Linked DNA regions of Diceros bicornis minor. The protein of the gene in region 3 purifies or fractionates together with the protein of the main gene of each other region. This does not show direct contact. Links are inferred from orthologs where the notes say so. Each region holds a gene or a part of one and is shown on either strand. Other genes may lie near its edges.

Region 1 (7,962 bases), on a different chromosome or scaffold from region 3:
GCAGTGACGCACGGCTTCTCCGGCCATGCTGAGGCCGCGTCCCACATACAGCAACTAGAAGGATGTGCAGCTATGACATACAACTATCTACTGGGGCTTTGGGGGCAAAATAAATAAGTAAATAAAATCTTAAAAAAAAAAAGTGGAGGGGGGCTCTTATGGTCACTTCTATGCTGTCTCTCTATTCTGTTTACATTTTCTTTTTAAAAATATAAACATATTGAAATATTTACGAATGAAACGATGTGATGTCTGAAATTTGCTTCAAAATAATATGGGAAGTTAATCTGACAAATGGATTAGGGAGCATGATGGAGCTAATTCCTACCTCGCTTGGAACACCCATCCTCCTAGAGTTATCAGAACACAGAGAGGCAGCACTAGAGCCAGGAAGGGGTACGGATGAAACAATTGTTGGAGCTGGCGAGGGGGATATTACGGTTCACTGTACAGTGTTTGAATAAATTTAAAATTTTTCATAATGCAAAGTTAAAAAAAAAAAACTTCTCTCACATACATAAACTACTGGTGAGACTTTTTCCTAAAACACCAAGAGAGTCACGGTGTCTGGTGCTATCCTCACATCCTATTTAATTGTTCTAGAGATGCAACATCTGTCGGTTCTGTTGTCACTCTGCAAATTCTGAGGTTACTCTCAGAAACAGGCCACAAAAACTAAGAAAAACGAACAGCTGCCGGTTTGCACGTGGAGCTGGCAGGCAAGGTGTAGAAAACGACCCTATAGAAGAGAACTTAGTTCCAAAACACCGAGTCTTTCCCTGCTCTGGTTTGCTGGGTCCTGGAGACAAGGACGCCCAGCCATCAGGCCCAGGTTAATAGCCTTTATCTTCTGGCTGACGGCCTTTTTTTAATATACTTCATCAAATCCAACTGTGGCTTGACTAACATCTAAGTGCATTTACCTCTGAAATAATTCACAATTGTACAATAATTTTGGGGTTTAATTTTATAAGGGAAAAATTAGTTTTCGATAACCTGAACTAGCTATATTTGAGAAGACAAAGAGATTATGATTTTACAAAAAGCAAATCCCTAAAAATGTATGCAAGATTCACTTCCAGCCTATGGTATTTAGAGAAATGAAATGCACCCACCATTTGGCTGAATTTAGTCTGAGAAGAGGACTAGAGAGCATAATGGATAAAATCCCTACCCTGTTGGGAATACCCTTCCTCCTGGAGTTTTAAAGAACACCCAGGGGGGCCAGCAGGAGAGCCCAAGGGCAGGACCAGGAGGGAGCATTCCTTTTACATGATGCACAGAGTGTGAACTCCAGTTACTGGAGCTGGATTGTACCACAGTAAGATCACTCAGTATCCAAGTATTTAAGGAGAGCAAATGGGCACCAGTTTAAGAATAAAACATCAGGCCAGGCTCAAGGTACTTAATGTTCTTCTTCAAAGAATTACTTTGGGTTCCATTAGTTCTCCCTATATTCTTAAAATTTGGTCCTGAATCTGGGTATGTGTGGACAGCCAAAAGGACAGTTTTTACGCATTCAGAACATTCCTTCATTACAGATCTTAGAACTAGAGGCGCTGCCAGACTTGGAGATTTCGTTCATAAGAAGGTCTTTTACTTTAAAACACTCATCTTCCACAGTCATTCCACAAAGACTTGTTTCCAACTCTCAACCCCGGGGCAAATCTCAAGAGGCTGGACGCCTTGCAAGCTGTGACATGGTTAGGAGGCAGGGAGGAGTAGCCACCCGGTGACCACAGAAGCTCCAGGCTGGTCCCCGGTGGAAGAAGCAGGGCCAGGAAGCTGAGGGAGGCAGACTGCTCCAGCCAGCCGCCGCGCGCTCCTGGGGGCCTTGGCGAGCTCACGCGTAACGACAGCAGACTGCGTGGCTCCAGGAACAGACTGGGGGATTAGGGTCCTCAGTCATAAAGGCCAGCTACAAGCGCGCGTTTACACACACCCTGTCATTAACTCCTGAACTCGTTCCCAAATACAGTGGAGCCATCCGACACCAGATACATTTCACATTTACGCGTGCTTTCAAGTAGAATAAAATACGTGACGTGCCCCAGTCAAGCTGTCACACATCCATCTCACAAATAAACCTACTATGTGCCCGGCACTGTTGATACATTAGTGAACAAACACTGATCAAAATCTCTAGCCTCCCCGCACGGACACTGTCAGCGAAATAAATACTCAGTGGCCGACAGAAGTTTAATCATTTTCCTCCAATTTCCTGCCACCCACCCCATCCTTCCAAACTCCTAAAAAGCTGGAAATCTGTTTTATTGTATTAGCTTGACAGAGACAATAAAATCCTTTAGCCTGCGAGGAACAGACACTGTCTAGGTGCAACCCATTCGCCCCTGAACTCCACTCTCTCTCAGCCTTTTTTTCCAGCCTTAACGCCTCCAAAACTTCAACTGGCTTGAAGGACTGTGCTCTGTCACTGCAGCCCTGGGGTGGGCAATCGCAGGGCACTGGACGGGACCGGCCAGAGCCCCCTGCTCCTGGGGTGGCCCTGCCGAGGCCAGCGGGGCGCGTGCGGCACTCACCGAGGAGCCGGCCCAGAACGGGCACGAGTTCTTCACCTGCGGAGAGCTGCTCAGCGACAGTGCCCCGAAGCTGAGTGCCACCATGCAGCAGCCCAGGATCAGCTGCAGCAGCCCGAGCGACAACAGCGGGCGAGCGGGGAGCAGCGCTGCGCCCGGGGCCGCGGCGGCGGCGGCGGCGGCGGCCCGGCGGGAGGAGAGCGCGGGCGGCGCGGCCAGCACCCCGGCGGCGGCGGCGGTGGCCACGCAGCGAGGCCGCGCCGGGGGCTGCAGCGCGGCCCGGGGCCAGCGTGGCCGCAGCGGGGGCAGCGGCGGCTCCTGGGCGGTGGCGGCCGCGGCGCCCGGGCCCCCGGCCTGCGGCCCGCCGGAGAGCCCGGCCACCGGGCAGCAGGAGCCCGGGAGCACCACGGGCAGGGACATGGACGGGCGGGGAAAGAGCGGCCGGCGGCGGCGGGGAGGGGACGCGGAGCGGAGCCGCGGGCGCCGCGCACTGGGCACCGCGGGCGGGCTCCGAGGCCGAGGGGGAGGGAAAGAAATGCGCACGGCCCAACCACTTGCTGCTGCTGCTGCTGCCGCCGCCACCGCTGCCCGGGCTCCCGCCGGCCGCACCCACCTGCCACTCGGCGGGTCCGCCCCCGGCCGGCTCCCAGCGCACTCTCACTGTCACCCCCACACACACCCACGCGCGCCCTGCGCTCGCGCCGCGCGGCTGCTGCAGCCTTTGGGTCACGGCAGAACCTGCGCCCGCTCCCTGGGGTCCAGGAAAGGTGCCCAGCCCCAATTTTTTATATAGGTCCCTCGGGCTAGGAAGGACTTCGCGGTCAGGGTGCGTCGGAGCTGGCGGCCGACGGCTGTCCCCCACCCGCCGAGCTGGGGCAGGACAGGAGCGCAGGAGAAGCGCTGTGGACCCTTGCCCCCTTCCGGTCCAGCCAAGAGGGGGCCCCCGGCAACCTTTAATGTGAAGGGAGTCCGGCTTTAAACTTTTTCCCCCCAGGGCGGGGGTGAAGGCAGGAGGAGGGGCTATGGGTGACTTGGTGGGAAAAGTCTAAGTTGCCGGCTTTCAGGGAAGGACGAAGCAGAGCGAACTGACCACTAGCTCTGGGCTTCCGGGCGCTGACCCTGCGCCGCAGCCCGCCGCCTGAAAGTGGGGGAGGGGGTGGGGAGGGAAGCGGGCAGGGATGCTTTCCCCGCACCAGGGTAGGAGCCAGAGTGAGCACGAGGTTACGTTGGAAGTAAGTATCCAGCATCCGGAAAGAAGGAACCGGGGGCGATCTGGAGCGTGTGGCAAGGGTTACACTCTGTGTCCGCCTCCCCTTGAGTCCTGAGCTGTATTAGGTATCACCTGGTAGAACATAGAATCCTGAAATTTCCGAAGAAATATCCTAATAAAATCCTAATCTGTTTTTGGTAATTTATAAGACATATTAGAGCCTTAAAAAACAAAAAAGATGATTCGCCTTCTAAAATGGTTTTCCCTAATAGTATACCTTTCTCTCCAATGAATTCTTATGTGTGAAAGTGTTCTTATACATAAAACTATTATAATATATTTTTTCCAGGTTAAAAACCTGAGCAGTGTCATTTTGCAGTGTCAGTCTCAGTATCAGGCAACTCATTTTATCAGGAAGATGAGGGTATTTAACATTCTGCTACCCAATAAACCAAGGGAAATGTGTATCCATTTTTATGCTCTGCTTGCAAAGGCTATACAGTATTTATTTTGGTCATTACTTACTTCAACCCACATTGCTAATGTGCATGTGTGTTTACATATACACTTTTTGAATTCTTAAAGCACCTGTGATTAATAGTCCCTAAGACTTCTTTTACAAACTCCTCTTGGAAATAAACTTCAAATCCTGGAGAAAAAAGGAGCTGTCTTTTAAAATAAACGTTTCAAGTATGTTTGTTTCATGCACTTTAAAAATGTCTTGCAGTACATGTTCTTAAATTGCAGGCGATGTTAAATTAAAAGCTTCTTGTGTACTGAGTTTATACCTTATATTTTAAACACAAGCTTAAAGGTATTTAATTTTCAAGATTCTACTGCACTGTGCAATATAAAACGTCTGAGTGAGTCTTGAGAAATTCTGTCAACTTAACAAATCTATTCCACTGATCTAATCCTTGACACCAGAAGTGTACTATTAAAAATGTATTCTTTGTGTCTAGGAATGTTGATGCTAGAAGTCAGATGTCCTCCCTCCCTTTGGAGGGCTAATGACTGGAAGAGACAGTTCCGGGGGGCTGATAACCATCTGTTTCTTGCTGTGGGTGCTAGTTACATGGGTGGGATTCATTCTGAGAAAATTCATGGAGTTACACTTTGTGCATTTCTCTGTATTTTATACTTAAATACTTTAAAGTATTTCTAAGTACTTTGCCCTTAAATTTTTTGTGTATGTCCCTATATAGAAACAGGTGATAGCAGAGGTAATTAAAATCCATGGATAGTTTTATACAATAACTTTAGTTATTTTTTCAGGCAACTAAACCTTTCTAAAGCTGCTAATTAAGAGTTGTGCTGTAGCTTTCTTTTTTTATTAGCGGCCACATTTATAGCTGTGAGTTTCTTTTTCAGCTTATCATAAACACAAATCCATGTAACATTGCCCCAAACTTTAAGATTATGCCAAATAACACTCAAGTATTAACACTCAAGTATTTGAGGTTTGGATTTGTAACCCAGGCTTGATTCTTTGCATTCCCTAAACACTTGCTTACCATAAGTCCTTAGACCTCATCAAGCTGAGCTGTATGTAACTAAACTCTTTTTTTTTTTTTTTTTTTTTTGTGAGAAAGATCAGCCCTGAGCTAACATCCATGCTAATCCTCCTCTTTTTGCTGAGGAAGACCGGCTCTGAGCTAACATCTATTGCCAATCCTCCTCCTTCCTCCCCCCCCAAAAGCCCCAGTAGATAGTTGTATGTTATAGTTGCACATCCTTCTAGTTGCTGTATGTGGGACGCGGCCTCAGCATGGCCAGAGAAGCGGTGCGTCGGTGCGCGCCTGGGATCTGAACCCCAGGCCGCCAGTAGCGGAGTGCGTGCACTTAACCGCCAAGCCATGGGGCCGGCCCTGTAACTAAACTCTTAGAGGATGATTCAGATCTATTGATTTCAGGTTGGCTTGAGGCTTTGGAAAACAGTTTGACATTTCCTCAGAAAGTTAGAGTTATCATTTGACCCAGTAATTCCATTCCTAGGTATATACTCAAGAGAAATGAAAACATATGTCACACCACAACTTGTACACAAATAGCATTATTCAAAATAGCCGAAAGGTAGAAGCAACCCAAGTGTGGATGAATGGGTAAACAAAATGCGGTATTATGGATGAATGGATAAACAAAATGTGGTAATTCATGCCATGGAATATTTTCAGCAATAAAAGAAATGGAGCACTGATACGTGCTACAGCGTAAATGAACCTTGAAAACATAATGCTAAGTGAAAGAAGCCAGTCACAAAAGACCACATATTATATGATTCCATTCATATGAAATCTCCAGAGAAAGACAAACACCACATGATTTCACTCATAAGTGGAAAATTAACACACAGACAGAGAGAACTGTGTGGTGGTTACCACGGGCAAGGGGGTTGTGGGGTGGGCATAAGGGGGGAAAGGATGCATTTATACAGTGACTCACAAACAATAACGTACAACTAAAATTTCACAACGTTATAAACTACTATGACATCAATAAAAAATTTTTTTTTAAATCTCCAGAATGGACAAATCCATAGAGACAGAAAGTAGATTAATGGTTACTTAGGGGTGGGGAATGGGGAGATTGAATGTGGGGAGGGTGATTGCTAAGGGTAGGGGGTAACTTTTTGAGGAGAAAAAATGTTCTAAAATCGATTGTGGTGATGATTGCACAACTCTGTGAATATACTAAAAACCATTGAATTGTACACTAATTTAAATAGGTGAATTGTATTTCAATAAAGATACATGTGAATTATATCTCAATAAGCCCTTACCAAAGAAATTAAAAATAAAGTGAGGAAGAACGTATGGAAAACTTGACCCAGACATTTCATTAATGTAGGTGAAAGTTCAAGGAAACAATAGTTGTAGTGTATCGTTCAGTGGATCCCAGCTGTCAGCTTTCCTCAAGATCAAAGCCAAATTCCAAGGAGAAATTTCCACCCATTCTTCCCTTCCCTGTACCTTCTTTTCCACTCCCCGCACTCAAAACCTTCACCACTCAGGAGTTTGGGCTCTTTCGCTCAGGTTTCACTGGACACCTTTAAACAAACTCCTCAGTTCCTCCCACCCTTTCTCAGAAGACCCAACCTGTCAGCTAATTACAGGAGGTTAGTCCCCGCTGGAGTGGGAGCTGCTGAACAAACTCTTTCCTCAAAACACGTTCCCTGGCAACCTGACTCCAGTTCTTATATTTTACAAAGAGAAGAGCTTCTCTGAGAAAGGCACAGTGGACTCCAGAAGTCCTCATTTAAAATGGTGGCTCTGGAGCACCTTCTCAAAGTGTGGTCCACAGACCATAGAACCATGTCAAAATGCAGGTTCACAGGCTTCCCCCACGCCAGGGAGTCTGACACTCCAGATAATAGGCCTGGGAACCTGCATTTTAACACATTCCAGAAAACATTACTGGATGGTACTATTCAGACTCCAGAATTTTTATATGGGAATATTTATATGGGAGGGATCTACGAGTCACAAATATGTTGGAAGGGGAAAGCAGAAGATTTAGCTTGAAAGCAAACTGAGATGTAAATACGTTGGGGGAGTGCTTTGCTGGTCCTCAGCCAGGCACTGCTGCCCAGGTCATTTCTATGCAGGAGAAGGATTTAGATTCCTGGATTCTAATGGAAAGGGTACCATATTAGGAGCCAGACATCCTGAGTTGTAGTCCCTCCTCTACTCTGTGACCTTGAGCCAGCTCCAAGCTTCTCTAGCCTCAGTTGCTTCAACTATCAAGGGCATGTTTGTGATGCTCCATCTGTCTGAGGCTGGACCATGTGATCAGATGGTGTCCCCTAGGCCTACAGTTTTGAAGTTCAGCCATTCTCATCGCCATAGTTTCTCAGATGATCAGCAAAAGAGCAGAAACCAAGAAAAGCAGGTGAATTTTGGTGTGGAATCTTGGAGACCCAAAATACCCAGGACAAAACTGAAAATTCATTATTCTAAACTTTAAGGCCTCAGGTTCCATGGTCTCATGTTTTTCCATGAGGGACTATGTTGTATGAGGATTGTGTTGGGGAAATGGAGTGGCAACTTCAATTATAACATTTCCCTTTGCAGAGAAAGGACTGTGGAACTTTTTTTTTTTTTAATTGAGAGAGAGAGGAAATGGAAGAAAGAAAGCAACCCTGAGCAGAGCTGGGCAAATCAGGCACTCCATTTTTGTGAAGTAATGGTGCAGACTAGTTGTTAAGGATTCTTAATG
Region 2 (7,103 bases), on a different chromosome or scaffold from region 3:
CCGGGCAGGCCCGGCTCCGCCCGCTGGATCTCGGCCGGACACGATCGGACCTGCCGCTGCGGAACCCCGGGTGGAGATACTCCGGGCGGGACGCGGCGGGCATCAAGGCGTGGCCTCCCGGCAGGCGTCCGGCAACCTCTGCCAGCTGAGCCCCTGTGCTGTTCCTCCTCCTCCAGGCAGCCCGCCCGGAACACGCCGCCCACACAAGACTTCAGGCTCCAGAACCCTCCGTGCCCGCACGTCTCCCCGAATAAACTCGGCGCTCTGGGGGCAAAGGGCCCACGTGGCGCCCCGGGGAATTCCGTGCGGCGGCCGAGACCGAGAGGGCGCCGCCGCCGTGCCCACCACTCCACCCCCCGAGAGCCAGGGCGTGACAGCTTCCAACAGACGCCCTGCCACCTCTCAAAAAACGGCCGGCGACGACCCTCCCAACCCCTGCCGCACCGGACTCCCGGGGGGCGGGAGGCAGGGGCGCCCAGCCCCGCGGACCTGCAGGGGGATTCACCTTCGAGGGCGGGTGCAAGACAGTGCGAGAGGATTAAAGAAGTGCCGGTGTCAGTCATAAACAGATGCAAGACAGGGGTCGTTAGAAAACGCAGGACATCCAGCGCAGAAGCTATGAGTAAAACAAGGGTTAACATAAAAAATGAAAACGGTGTGACAAACACATTGAAAATTTCCTTCCAAACCCGAGGTTTTTCTGGGGGGCACTGAGCCAAGTTCTTTGTTCCTACGGTGTTTTTTGTAAGACTGTTTAGAGGGAAAATACCGAACATTCTGTTCCTCTCGTCTGCAGTTTCTTATCTAGAGCAGGTCAAGGCCGCTCTAGGCTCGGTTTTAGATTGTCCGGGCTTTTATTTCGGACATGTCCGAAATGCTGTCCCTTCTGGCACCACTTCTCCTGGGACAAAGTTCAAAAGTCAACAAACGAAAATATCGGAGAGCCCTGGCGTCGCCGAACTTACTTCCTGTTCCCTTCAATCAACACAGTATTGGCCCCATTTCAATGGCCTTTGTTCTATGGCACTGCACACTGCACAGTAAATATTTAAAAAAAGCACACGCCCTTCCGTCAGATCGGGACTGCATCAAGCAAGAACAACCTGAAATCATCTTCCCTTCCCAGTCGTTTTGAAGGGGGAAAAGAGCGGGGCAGAAACAGGTTTATTACAAGGCTTTACAAAAATCTCAGCCAAGCGTTCCGAACGTTGCAAGGCAAGCTTTCCTGGCAACTGGCCGAAACATGTATGCCTGCTTTGAGAAGTAGCCGCCCTGCCCCACCCGGCCGGGCGACCGCGAGCGCCGAGTCCCGCAGGCCGGCTGCCCCGAGGCGCGCGCCCCGCTGCGGGGCGCCCTGCCCGGAGCGACCTGCCCAGCCTTCTGAGCAGCCACCCCCGGGACTGAGCGACCCGACGGTGGCCTCGGTGACAGGACGCGGCCCCGCCCCAGGCCTGCTCCCGCCTCTGCGGCTAGAGTCGGCCCAGGGCTGTGCGGTCCGCGTCCCCGCGGCCTCGGGCGGCCCCCGACAGTCGGGGGGCGGGGGAGGGAACCCCGAGGCCGACTCCACAGACTGAGTCACCCCGCGCGGCCCGCGCCCCCGCCCGCACCCCCGCCGGCCGGCTCCGCGAGGAGCGCGCAGGCCGGACGCCCACCGCGGCGCGGGTCCCGGCCCCCGCGCTCGGGAGCGGCGGGCCGCACGGCACTTACCGTCCTGCCCGCGGCGGGACGCTCCTCCCGGCTTCCCTCCGCGGCGCTCGCAGAGCGCGGGCAAGATGGAGGCGAGAAACCGAAACCCGGAGGCGGACGTGGCGCTCGCCGGCCCGGCCTCCCCGCCTCGCTCGCCCTCGCGGACTTCTCTCAACTTTGACCCCACAGAAGTCGCGCGGCCCGACATTCGCCGTGGTCGGCCCAGAGACCCCGGCACCAGCCCCCAACGAGTCCCTGGCATTGAAAGGCCCGGCTGGTCCAGCAGCTGTTTCCTGTTGTGGCGGATGTGCCTCCCCCCGGGGGGCGGCTGTCCCGAGGCGCAGCAGCGCCGGCGTTGTCAGCCATGGACGACGGGGAGAGGAGCGAGCAGCGACGCGAGGGCGCCTCGTGATTGATCTCTTCGTTCCTAGCCACTAGTTCCTTGGGGCTTTTTTAATTTCTTAACTTTTCTTGAAATAAATTTAAACTCACAGGAGTTGCAAGCACGATACCAGGGAGACTGACTACCGGCCTGACAGCGGGGGCTCGGCTGACCCACGCCCTAGGGAAACTGATGACAGTTATTTTAAAACAAGCAAGCACCCATTTAAAGGCTTGGAAACAGTCCTAAAAGAAGACAGCAAATGAAGAAACATCTATTCAAGAAAATCGACGAAAATTCAGTAAGAAAGGCAAGAATCTGTGTTATTTCAACCAAGACCTCTTGCTCCCTTCACCCTCCCAGCTTGGCAAGGCAGACACCCCACTCCCGACTGCTGGAACCGAGAAGAACACACGGCCTCCTCTTCCCGCGGCTCCCAGTGGGAGGGGCAGGGTGTCAGCAATTCTCACTCGGCCCCTAGCCGCCTGATACTGAGGCCGATCCTGGCTGAGCGGGGTTCCTTTCTTCCACCCAGCCCCACTCGTGGAACAGAGGCTCTACCCTGGGCTGGAGTGCTGAGAATACGGGGGTCCTAAGCACGCTTACCCCAGCTCCTGAAGTGGTGGTTCAAGCCAGAGAAGAGACGCTGAGAGGACTTCAGGTGGCTACAGGCTCCACCAGCTGTTGCTCAGCCCGTGCAGCAGGGATGTGACTCACTGAAGTTGTCATTGTTCCACCTCCTGCTCCTAAACCCTGGCTCCGAGACTGGGCCTAAGGGGAAAGGCAGTCCTTAAAACAGATAGCTCTTAATCTCTTCCCAAAGGTACTGACTTCATTTGCAACAGAACATGGAAAAATTCAAGCCAAAGTGTGCTCTCAAACACCTGGAGGTTTTGGTCATAGGCGATTGGGAGGAGACTCAAGATGTGGGCTGAATTGTAGGCGGACTAGTTTGCAGGAGAAAACCAGAGATAAAAACAGCTCGGGGAGGGCTGGCCCCACGGCTTAGCAGTTAAGTGCTCGCGCTCCGCTGCTGGCTGCCGGGGCCGGCGCGCACTGTCGCACCGCTTCTCCGGCCTAGGCCGTGTCCCACATACAGCAACTAGAAGGATGTGCAGCTATGACATACAACTATCTACTGGGGCTTTGGGGGGGGAAAAATAAATAAATAAAATTATAAAAAAAAAAAAAAGACAGCTGAGGGAAGCCTACCTGTGGTAAGAACAAATATTAAACACTGACCTCATAAACTGTTGCTTCAAAAGGGCTAGAATTTGATTGGATTCATTTGTTGAGCAATTTATGCTCCAGGGCATTGTTGTAAATAATAGAACAATCAGCCAGCTAACTTGCGGAGTTTAACAGCTGGGTGTGGTCAGGCAATGAGAGGAAGAGAGCCCTACCCAAACTACTGGAATACTGGGATAACAACATCAGAAGTTTAAGGGGGTGGCCAGCATACACTTCATTACAGTAATCCAGCCAGCCACTAAACAAATAAACAAGCAAATAACAACAACAAAGGCTGGGGGGAGGGGAGGGGAATGGGGAGGAAACAAGTACCCAGAGTTGCTACAATATATTATATGAAATGTCCACTTTCCAACAAAAAATTACGATGCATGCAAGGAAATGGGGAAGTATGACCTATATACTGGAAAAATAGCAGGCAACAGAAACTGCACGTGAGAGCGACCAGATGTCTGATTTATCAGAAAGCGACCAGATGTTGGATTTATCAGAAAAAGAATTCAAAGTAGCCATTATAAACATGTTCTCAGAACTAAAGAAAAGCATGATTAAAGAAGTAAAGGAAGTTATGACAACAAGCCATATCAAACAGAATATCAACACATATTCAGCAGCTAGAGTAGAGATATGACTCAGAAATTATAAAAATGAGCCAAATAGAAATTCTGGAGTTGAAAAATACAATAACTGAAATAACTTCATTAGGTGTTTAATAATAGACTTGAATTGGCAGAAAAAAAGAATAACTTAAAGTTAGAGGCATAGAGATTATGCAAGCCAAAGAACAGAAAAATGAAGAGATTCTCAGAGAAATGTGAGACATCATTAAGCACACCAACATATGCACACTGAAAGTACCAGAAGTGATACTGGCTAAAGACAAGGTTGACATGAGGGAAGCCATGTTGTAGAAAAGAAACCCTATTGTAACTTTGAATGACCTCTGACAAACTAACCCAGCTGGATATACACCCTCCAGGAGATCTAACTGCTATGTTGATTTTACAACCCTTGCTTGTGCATATACCTCCCAGCTGCCATAAGATGATAACTTTGTTCTTTTGAGTTCCTTAGGAATGTGATGACCCCCAAACAGAGAGTCTATGCTGGTAGCAATCATCAATGAAAACTGAAGGATCTGGTGTGGTGACTCCCAGTCTGTAACACCAGAAGGTCAACATTCCAACATTCCATTCCTAACCCCCTCCTCTATAACCCACCGGCCTATATAACTGCTATAAGATTTGTGCCCCTTTAAGATGGTTTTTTTCAGACATTAGTCGGCCATCTTCACTCTTGCTAGCAAGCTGTAACAAAAAAAGTCCTTTTTCTCCTACCACCTTGCCTCTTGACTATTGGCATGTCTTGCAGCGAGCAGAAGGCCCCACGCTGGGCGGTAACAGAAGGAGAGGAGAGTGGGAAAAGGAGCAAAAAAAACATTCAAAGAAATAATGGCTAAAAACTTCCCAAATGTATTGAAAAACTGTAACCTACACATCCAGGAAGCTGACTCCTCAGCAAAAACAATAGAGGCCAGAAGGCAATGAGATAATATATTCAAAGTGCTCAAAGAAAAAGCCTTTCAACCAATAATCCTATATGCACAAAACTATCTTTTGAAAATAAGATTGGTGAAATAAAGTGAAATACTTTCCCAAATAAACAAAACTGAGAGAATCTGTGCTAGCAGATCTGCCTTACAAGAAATACTAAAAGTTTTTCAGGCTGAAAGCAAGTAACCCCAGACAGTAATTCAAATCCACACCAAAAAACAAAGAACATCAGAAAGGTAATTATATAATTATAAAAGACAGTATAAATGAATATTTTTTCTCCTACTCTTAACTGATTTAAAAAGCAATTTCATAAAATAATATAATGGATTGTTGTGCCTATAATATGTAGAAATTAATATATGTGAAATATATTTGCCAGTAGCAGCACGAAGGATTGGGGTGGAAGCAAAGCTATATTGGGATAAGGAAATGACTACAGATGATAAAGTAATAATTATAAGAGTATATTGCTGGATGTGTAACGTTAATTGATGTTAATACCACAAAGAGGTGGAGAAGGGAATGGAGCTATGTAGGAGTAACATTTCTATATATCACTGGGACTAGCTAGTATAAATCTGAAGCTGCCTCTGATAAGTTAAGATGTATGTGGTAAACCCCAGAGCAACCACTAAAACAATAATTCAAAAATATATAGTGAAAAATCATTAAAGAAATTAAGATGCTGGGGCCAGCCCGGTGCCGCAAGTGCGCACGCTCCGCTGCAGCAGCCCGGGGTTCACCGGTTCAGATCCTGGGTGCATACTGGTGCACTGCTTGGCAAGCCATGCTGTAGTGGTGTCCCATATAAAGTGGAGGAAGATGGGCACAGATGTTAGCCCAGGGCCAGTCTTCCTCAGCAAAAAAAAAAGAAGATTGGCAGATGTTAGCACAGGGTTGATCTCCTCACACACACACAAAAAGAAATTAAGATGCTACATTAGGGGCTGGCCCCATGGCTTAGTGGTTAAGGGCGCACGCTCAGCTACTGGCGGCCCGGGTTTGGATCCCGGGCGCACACCGACGCACTGCTTGTCTGGCCATGCTGAGGCAGCGTCCCACGTACAGCAACTAGAAGGATGTGCAACTATGACATACAACTATCTACTGGGGCTTTGGGGAGAAAAAGGGAGAAAAAGGAGGAGGATTGGCAATAGATGTTAGCTCAGGGCAGGTCTTCCTCAGCAAAAAGAGGAGGGTTAGCATGGATGTTAGCTCAGGGCTGATCTTCCTCATTAAAAAAAAAAAAAAAGATGCTACATTAGAAAATAGTCACGTAATGTAAAAGAAAGCAGAAAGGAGAAATAAAGGAACAGAAAAGACACGAGACATAGAAAATAAATGTAAATAGCACATGCAAATCCAGCTATATCAATAATAACACTAAATGAAAATGGATTAAATAATCCAATCTAAAGGAAAATTTGTTAGACTGGATTTAAAAAAAACCTATGATACAACTCTAACTATCTATAGGAGACACACTTTAGATTCAAAGATACAAATCGATTGAAAATAAAATATGGAAAAAGATATATCATGCAAAAAGCAACCACAAGAATGCTGGAGTAGCTATATTGATATCACACAACATAAACTTCAAAACAAAAAATGTTGCTAGAGATAAAGACATTTTATAACAATAAAAATGTCAATCCATCAGATAGATATAATCATTATAAACATATTTACACCTAATAACAGAACACCAAAACACATGAAGCAAAACTGAAAGAAATAAACAAAAAATAGATGTTTCAACAGTAACAGTTGGAAACTTCGATACTCCACTTTCGATAAGGGATAGAACAACTAGACAGACAATTAACAAGGAAACAGAAGGCTTGAGCAATACTATAAACCAACTAGACCTAACAGCTATAGAACACTCCATCCAATATCAGAATATATATTATCAATATACATGAATATACATTCAAGTGCACATGGAACATTCTCCAGGATACACCATCTGCTAGGCCATAAAATAAACCTCAGTAAATTTAACGGGATAGAAATAATATAAAGTATGTTCTCTGACCAAAATGGAATGAAATTAGAAGTCAAAAACAGGAAAAATTGGTAAAACTCACAAATATGTGGAAATTAAACAACACACACCTAAGTAACCAGTGGTTCAAAGAAGAAATCAAAAGGAAAATCTGAAAATACTCTGAGATGAATGAAAATCAAGCAGAATATACCAAAACTTATGGAGTGCAGCTAGA
Region 3 (7,946 bases):
CACAGGCTAGAAATACCTTTTTTTTCTTTTGATAAAATATCCAAAGCTCTTTAGTAGCACACATTCATCTTGGTACACTGGAGAATAATAGAATAAGAGTTACAAAACTTAGCTCTAGTTCTAGCTCTAGTTCTAGCTCTGATTCTTAACTAGTTTTAGGTAAATTATTTAACCTCCTTAGGACATTTTTTTTTAAAACAAACAGAAAACCAAGAGGTTGGACTAGTCTAAGAATAGTATATACCTGGCACATATACCACCCACTAGATAACTGTGCCCGCAGGAGGCATCACCAATCAATCATAAGTCACTTTCCCAGAGAACCCATATGACCAAAATCCCTCTCAATACAGTGCTTCTGGCAGCTACTTCAAAGCAGAGTTGGCCCATAAACCATATTTGCCACTGTATAATCTCTGCAATCTCTTGCAACTCTAAAATTCTAAGACCAAGTTTCTGAGTGGGAGAAAAACTTCAAACAAGCTTAGATCACCGTTGATAGTCATAAATTTCAGTCTTATCTCCTAATTCTCCTCCAAATTGCACCCAATCTCGTTCTAATTTTTTCAAAGATGCTAATGAACAATACACTCCAATACCATTAACATATTTAACCTGGCAATATAATTCAGGCTTGCTAATGGGTTCTTTTGACAGAAAAGGAGTCCTTTGCCCAGACTGTCCCTAAAAAATCCTCATCCAAAAATATGGCAACAATATTACACTAGGAAAGAACTAAACTCAAACCCTTAAACATCCCCACAGCCTCTGTCCAAGGTCAAGGCTTTTCACCTCTCACCTAGACCTCTGCAATGGCCACTCTTCCATCCCTTCACTCTTATCACCAGAGCAATCTTTCTGAAACACACACATACTCATCCCACTTTCCTGTTTAAAAATTTGCATCTATTGCTAACAACATAAAACTCAAGTTTTTTAGCATTATACTTAGAACTTTTCATATAGTTGCCTCCTTTGACCTTTCTGGCCTCATGTCTCACATGCTCTCCTTCCTCATTCCACTCCCTGCTCTCTGAACCCTTTTTCTTCTACAATCCTCTGCATTTACAAACAGCATTAAGGTTTCTTCCTTTATCTGCCTTGTCCTTCCTTTTCCCCATCCCTATCACACTCCTACTCATCATCTAAGACCCAACTTAGGTCCACAGGCAGATTCTGCCTCCTTCTGTGGCCAACCCCCAGATAGAACAGGTCACTTCCTCATCTGTCTCCAAGTTTTTTGAGCTGTCCTAGGTATGCTCACAGTATTGTTTGCCTCAGTGGTTCCCAACACCATCAGAATTACCTGAGGCATGTTGTAAAAATAAACTCCTTAGAGCCAACACAGGCATACTAAATCAATCTCAGGAGACAAGACCCCGGAAATTCTACTTTTAACAATCTTCCCTAATTATTCTAATGGTCAAATTTGGGGACTACCGGTCTGTCTCTTCCAATAGGTGTAAAGATGTGTTTTTTAAAAGAATGTAGAAATGATTTACTCTAGAATACACTGAAGAAGTATTCTGCACTTGCTTTTTATTTCATATCATAATCCTTGTTGACTTGATTCATATGCTGAAGATGAAGGAATTCCTTTTGGACTCACACCCAAAAACCTTACATTCACTGTTCAAAAAAAACAGTTGAATTTCCACCTTCATTTCTAAATCTTAAAAATGAAGTAATTGTACCTTGAGTAAACCTATGAATACACAGTGCAGGCGCTCACCAGATCTGCCACGAGAACTTCATTTCAGCCGAGAAACAAATCCTTAGCAGATTTTGAGAGTGGAAATACACTGCCTCTACATACTTCCTTAAAATCGAATTATATTAGGAATAGATGCCGGAGACCCCAACTAAGTGCCAATGATAGGCGGCTGGCTCCAGCGCCTCATTAATTTTCAAAGACAAGTCCCACTCTTCCTTCCCCACCCCTCACTCCCCCAAAAAAGTATACTGAAGCTGTAAAATAATGGCAGAAAATGTAACACGATTAAAGATACAAATGTAACCAAGAAAACAAGTTGGGTTGTTACCGGGAATCGTGAATTTCGGGTGGTTTGCAAGTTCACCTGGTTACATCTCGGACTAACGTTAGGCCCAAAGTCTACTTCGGGCGCACGGTCCCTGTGTTTATCTCTCTTTAACTCGCTGCCCGGAAATAAATCTTAAAACTTGAGGTCCCTACGAAGTCATGTCCTCATCATGTTTTGACCCTTATAATACGTTCACGGCTACTTTTTTCTTTTCTCTGCTAAAGGAACGGACACTCTCAGGAAGGAGGACAGTGACAGCTCCACGTCTGCAAAACTCGGCGCCGGGAGGCGCCGGCAGGGTCGGGGCGGCGGGAGCCGAGCAGGGCGCCCGGGCCGGGACCACCACGCTGGGGGACAATGGAAGGAGGAGGGGACTGGAAAAGACAAGGGTAAGTAGCCGCTGTGCTGGGCCCCCCTCGCGACTGGGGGCTCCAAAAAGTCTCGAGAAGGCCAGCCGGGTGGCAGGTGGGCCTCGCCGCCGCCCCTCACAAGGCCACGTCGCGCGCGCCGGCCGCTGCCGCCGGGCCCCGCGCGTAGGCCCGGCGGCGGGAGAGTGGCCCCCGGGCGGGGCTGAGGGGCGCGGGGCCGGACCCTGCCGGCGTCCGCCGCGGCCCAGCCCTCCCACAACTTGGCGCCGGCGAGGCGAGGGGCTCCGGACGCCTCAGCCCGACAGTGGCCACTCGGTGCGTCCGGCCGTCCCACCTCCCGCCCGGCCCGGGCCACTAGCCCGAGCTCCTCGCGCCCCCAGGGGCACCGGCTCTGAGGGAAGAGCGAGGAGCCAAGGTTCTGGGGGCCCGGCTCGCGCGCCACATTTCTCCATTCCTCGTTCTCCTCGGACACTCTCATCCGGGCACCCCACTCTCCCCAGAACTGCCCCCAGCCCGCCTGCGGGTATTTACCGGGACTCGGGGCGGCGGCGACTCTTCAGTCCCTCGACTAAGATGGCAGCCGGTCCCGAGCCCCGACTACAGGGACCGGAGCCACTAGGCCGCCAATGCGCAGGCGCCTCCTCCTCGGGAGCGACCCCGACTACAAACCCCAGAAGGCCTGGCGAACTTGCCAGCCTCTGGCCGGAAGAGCTGGCTGGAGCTGGTGAGCGCAGCTAAATCGGAGTTTGCTCCCTCCCAGCGCTTCTAGGCCCTTTTTTAATCCCTCCCGCCCCACCCCCACCCCCACCCCCACCCCCACCCCCAACCTCTAAAGACTGTAGCTTCGGTTCCGAAACTCTAGTGTGCGTCAGAATCAGCTGAAAGCCTTGCTAAAACTTAGACTCCTGGGCCCCCCCTCCTCCCCCAGAGTTTCTAATTCAGCTGATCTTAGATGGCCTGTATTAATTTACATTTCTAACAAGCTCTCTGGTGTGCCACTGGTGGAGGATCACACTTTGAGAACCAAGATTTGTCCTTAAGGAAGTGCACTCGGGAGTTACATTGATCCGGTTCAAATATACCTTTTAACAGGGTGCGCTTAGGGTTGATGAAAATAGCTTACACGTAATTGGTGCCAACAGGGCAGGTGTTCCAAGAGCTACTCAATAAACTTCTTTAAACCTCACAACAAACTTATGAGGGAAGTATCTTCACTATCCTCACTCTACAGATGCATAAACAAAGTCACAGCTGGATAAGAACCCAGGCAGTCTGGCTTCAGAGTCCATCCTCTTAACTTCCTTCATGAGTTGTTTATGAGAATAGATAGGCTAAGTAGACTCAGAGGAACAACTAAGTGCTTAGTAATTAGTAACCTTTGCTATTATTGTTTAGCCTGTTTCCTCCTAGTGAAAATAATATTTCACCATCTAGAAAGTCACTTAACGCTTTTCAAAATACTTTCAAATCCTGTATGTTAATGTTTCCTGCAATATGCCTTAGGAGAGTGTGTTAAAGATACAGATTCCTGCTTACAGATCTTCTTAAAGATACAGATACAGTATCCTGTACTCTTGGGGGGGTCCTACCTATTCAAATTCTCTAGGACAGTGGTTCTCAAACTTTAGTGCCCATCAGAATCACCTGGAGGATTTGTTAAACCTTAGTTTGCTAGACTCCACCCCCAGAATTTCCGATTCAGTAGGTCTAGAATGGGGCCTCAGAATTTGCATTTTTAACCACAGACTACACTTGGAGAGTCACTGCTGTAGGGCAGTGTTTCTCAACCTTTTTTTAATCATCTCTCTAAGGAACATTTTAAGACATTTTTTTCTCTAGTCATTCCCCCCATGAAATTTTAATATCACAAGTATACTGTATATCTATTTATGTACTATATGTATATCTGTGCTTTTACATGAAAAAGTAAAAAAATTTTCCTCTCCACCCCCAACCAATTTTTGTCCCATTACGAATGTATGCTCTGGGCCGGCCCCGTGGCTTAGCGGTTAAGTGCTCGCGCTCTGCGGCTGGCGGCCCGGGGTTCAGATCCCGGGTACGCACCAACACACTGCTTCTCCGGCCATGCTGAGGCCGTGTCCCACATACAGCAACTAGAAGGATGTGCAGCTATGACATACAACTATCTACTGGGGCTTTGGGGGAAAAAAAAAAATGAGGAGGATTGACAATAGATGTTAGCTCAGAGCCGGTCTTCCTCAGCAAAAAGAGGAGGATTAGCATGGATGTTAGCTCAGGGCTGATCTTCCTCACACACACGAGGGAAAAAAAAAAAAAGAATGTATGCTCTGGGAAACGTGGGTTTTTAAAGTAGTGCCCCAGGTGATTTTTGTCAGCAGGCAGGTTTGGGAAACACTATCTCTTTAAGGTATGAGGTGTTTTTATGACTATTATACGGAGAAGGAAATGAGTCTCAAGGAAATTAGATGACTGATCCAAGATCACTCAGCCAGGAGCTAGGGATCCAACCAAAGTCCTCTGGCTCCAGATTCTGTCTTCATCTACAATTTTTTAAACTATATAATGTTAGGCAAAACTAATCTACGGTGTTTGAAGTCAGGATAGTGAATCCCTTTGAGGGGAAGTAGTACCAGGAAGGAGACACAAAGGGGCTTCTCAGGGCTGGTAATAATGTGGTGTGCTGGTACACAGGCATGTTCACTTTGTGAAAATTCATCAAGCTGTATACTTATGATTTGTGTATTTTTCTGTATTTGTATTATATGTCAATAAAAGTTTACCTCAAGCAAATATATGTTTTAAATATATGCTCATTTTGTTCCAAAAATGCATCTCTTTCTACTACATGCCAAAGATTCTCAAACTTTAGAGTGCCTCAGAATCACCTGGAGGGCTTATTAAAACTCAGATTGTCAGCTATCACTCCCAGAATTTCTGAGTTAGGAAGTTCTGGAATCAGGCCTAAGAATTTGCATTTCTTTCTTCTTTTTTTTGTGAGGAAGATCAGCTGTGAGCTAACATCCATGCCAATCCTCCTCTTTTTGCTGAGGAAGACCAGCCCTGAGCTAACATCTATCGGCAATCCTCCTCCTTTTTTTCCCCTTTTCTCCCCAAAGCCCCAGTAGATAGTTGTACGTCATAGTTGCACATCCCTCTAGTTGCTGTATGTGGGATGCTGCCTCAGTATGGCCAGACAAGCAGTGTGTCGATGTGCGCCCAAGATCTGAACCCGGGCCACCAGTAGCGGAGCGCATGCACTTAACTGCTAAGCCATGGGGCCGGCCCCAGAATTTGCATTCCTAACAAGTTCCCCAGGTGATGTTGATGCCCAAGGATCACATTTTGAGAAACACTGAACTATGCCAACCTAACTTTCATGCTAATGCCAACAGGGTGGAATAGCTCTGCCCTGGGAGGCAGTACTTGGAAGAGTTAATAATTTAGGCTTATTCAGAGGCATATGGATCAAAGATCTAGTCCTGACTATCAACAACTTGCTTCAGGGTCTTAGGCAAGTGCCTTGAAACTCAGTGTCCAATCTCTAAATGGAAATAATAGATCCTACTTCCTAGGATGTTGTGAAGACTCTAGAAAATCCAGGTAGGTAGTTGGTGGTTCTCCAAAGAGAAGTTGAGTTGGTGAGGGCAGAGAATCCTCTCCTGGCCATTTCCTCATCTCTCATGCTGTGCAGTTTTGGCCCCCAGGTTCCCTGATCCAGAAGTCAGCCTAGTCTTGGCCTGGTCAGAATGCAGGACCTGTGGCTGATAAAGCTGTGAGCCACCTACACCCTCATTCTGCCTTGGACACCCAGGTCAGCCTGGGACAAGACCCAGCCCTGCTAGAGCAGGGGCAGGAAGCCTGGAGGAGGCCCCCACCACCAAGAGAAGGAGCTTCCCAGGCCTCTGGGGAGAGTAGGGGGGAAGGAAGCAGGGATGCAGAGCTGGAATGAGTGGGGAGAGAAACCCCAGTGGCCCACACACAGCCTGTCACTTACTGGCTTTCCCTGCAGAAGGCTTAGTCACGCTGTTGTCCCTCTCTTCCCTGAAGCCACTCTGTATTCAACTGCCAGAGACAGGGGAAGACTTGAAATGTGGCAGAGCTGTGTGTAGATGGAGAGAAGACACTGGATGGGGCTTCTGGGAATCTAAGATCTGGATCCAAAGAGACCACTTAAGACCTGAGGTCATGGCTCCATCAATTCCCCTCTTTAAGACTGTTTCTTCATTTGCAAAATGAGGCGCACACATTCTGCAGTTACTCCCTCCCAGGTAAGGTTGTCAGATTTAGAAAATAAAAATATAGGATGCTCAGTTAAATTTGAATTTCAGGCAAACAATGAATAATTTTTTTAGCATAAATATGTAACAAATATTGGTATAACATACTTATACTAAAATTATTTTCCTTGTTTATCTAAAATTCAAATTTAACTGGGCATCCTGCATTTTCTTTGGCAACTCGACATCCAGGGCTTTATCCACTTTTTCCATCAGGGGTAGTAAACTTAAATTCCTCCAAGGGCCAGTAAGGAAAAATAAAAAATCACAGCTAATATTTACTTTCTACATTGTAATTACCAAATAGAGTCTTAAGTGTTTTATATATACTATCTCATTGAATACTCTCAGCAACCTAGGTGGGGTGCTCAGTTTCCACATCTATAAGATGAGAATGGTAATATAACCTATATCGTGGGTCATTGTGAGGATTAAATTAGCATGTGAAACACTTAGAACAATGCCAGGCAAGCACTCAATAAGCAATAGCTATACTTTTTCCCATTATACAGATGGGGAAACTGAGTCTCAAAGAGGCAGGATAACCAGCTTGTGGTCATACATCTAGCAAGTAGCAAAGCCAGGATTTGAACTCAGGTCTAAAACATTGGCAACCAATTCAAAACATTTAAAACTCCTGCATGTTTCATCAGCAGGAAAATGGATGAAGTGTGGTATATTCATTCATACAGTAGAATACTACTAAGCAATAAAAAAGAACAATTACTAATATACAAAATAAAGCAGATAAGTCTCAGACATTAAGCTAAAAGAAAGAAGCCTTATACAAAGGAGTATACACTGTAAGATTCTATTTGTACTATGTTCTAGAATAGGTAAATCAATTCAATGGTGAAAGAAAATCACAATAGTGGTTGCCTCTGGAGCGAGAGAATTTTCTGGGGTGTTGAAAAGGTTCTTTCAGTATCTTGTTAGGGGTGTGGATTATGTGGTGGTACACATTTGTCAAAACAGTAAATGGTCTACTTGAGATATATGTGTATCATTGTATATAAATTTAACCTAAAAAAAATATATTGAACTCTAGTTAGTGACAGGCGTGCTGAAGTGTTAAGAGGTAGAGTGAACTCTAGAGCTTCTTTGAAATGCATCAAAAAATGAGATGGATGTGTGGAGAGAGAGATGAATGAATAAATATGTGACAAAGCAAATATAGCAAACTGTTAATTCTAGAACCTAGGTGGTGGAAAGTTGATGTTCACGGTACAATTCTTTCAGCTATTCTCTATGTTTGAAATTTTTCATGATAAAATGTT

The links. Proteins that work in one complex are often made in the same cells at the same time.
Region 1: the proteins of ITCH (region 3) and ENTREP1 purify together in Homo sapiens (co-immunoprecipitation; 3 studies listed by BioGRID and IntAct, counting the BioPlex papers as one, with this or other methods). This does not show direct contact. The link is inferred for Diceros bicornis minor from reciprocal best matches to the Homo sapiens genes ITCH and ENTREP1.
Region 2: the proteins of ITCH (region 3) and CFLAR purify together in Homo sapiens (affinity purification with western blotting; 8 studies listed by BioGRID). This does not show direct contact. The link is inferred for Diceros bicornis minor from reciprocal best matches to the Homo sapiens genes ITCH and CFLAR.

What each region holds. Positions count from the first base shown.
Region 1 is NC_080761.1:23,821,206-23,829,167, forward strand, and holds the start of ENTREP1 (endosomal transmembrane epsin interactor 1), read right to left. Parts: upstream 3,008-7,962; 5' UTR 2,958-3,007; coding exon 2,541-2,957; intron 1-2,540. UniProt on the Homo sapiens protein: Functions as an activator of the E3 ubiquitin protein ligase ITCH in the ubiquitination of the CXCL12-activated CXCR4 receptor. Thereby, triggers CXCR4 endocytosis and desensitization, negatively regulating the CXCL12/CXCR4 signaling pathway.
Region 2 is NC_080749.1:79,017,639-79,024,741, reverse strand, and holds the start of CFLAR (CASP8 and FADD-like apoptosis regulator), read right to left. Parts: upstream 3,008-7,103; 5' UTR 2,675-3,007; intron 1,921-2,674; exon of another isoform or gene 1,708-1,920; intron 92-1,707; exon of another isoform or gene 1-91. UniProt on the Homo sapiens protein: Apoptosis regulator protein which may function as a crucial link between cell survival and cell death pathways in mammalian cells. Acts as an inhibitor of TNFRSF6 mediated apoptosis.
Region 3 is NC_080758.1:25,188,345-25,196,290, forward strand, and holds the start of ITCH (E3 ubiquitin-protein ligase Itchy homolog), read right to left. Parts: upstream 3,021-7,946; 5' UTR 2,942-3,020; intron 166-2,941; exon of another isoform or gene 17-165; intron 1-16. UniProt on the Homo sapiens protein: Acts as an Acts as an E3 ubiquitin-protein ligase which accepts ubiquitin from an E2 ubiquitin-conjugating enzyme in the form of a thioester and then directly transfers the ubiquitin to targeted substrates.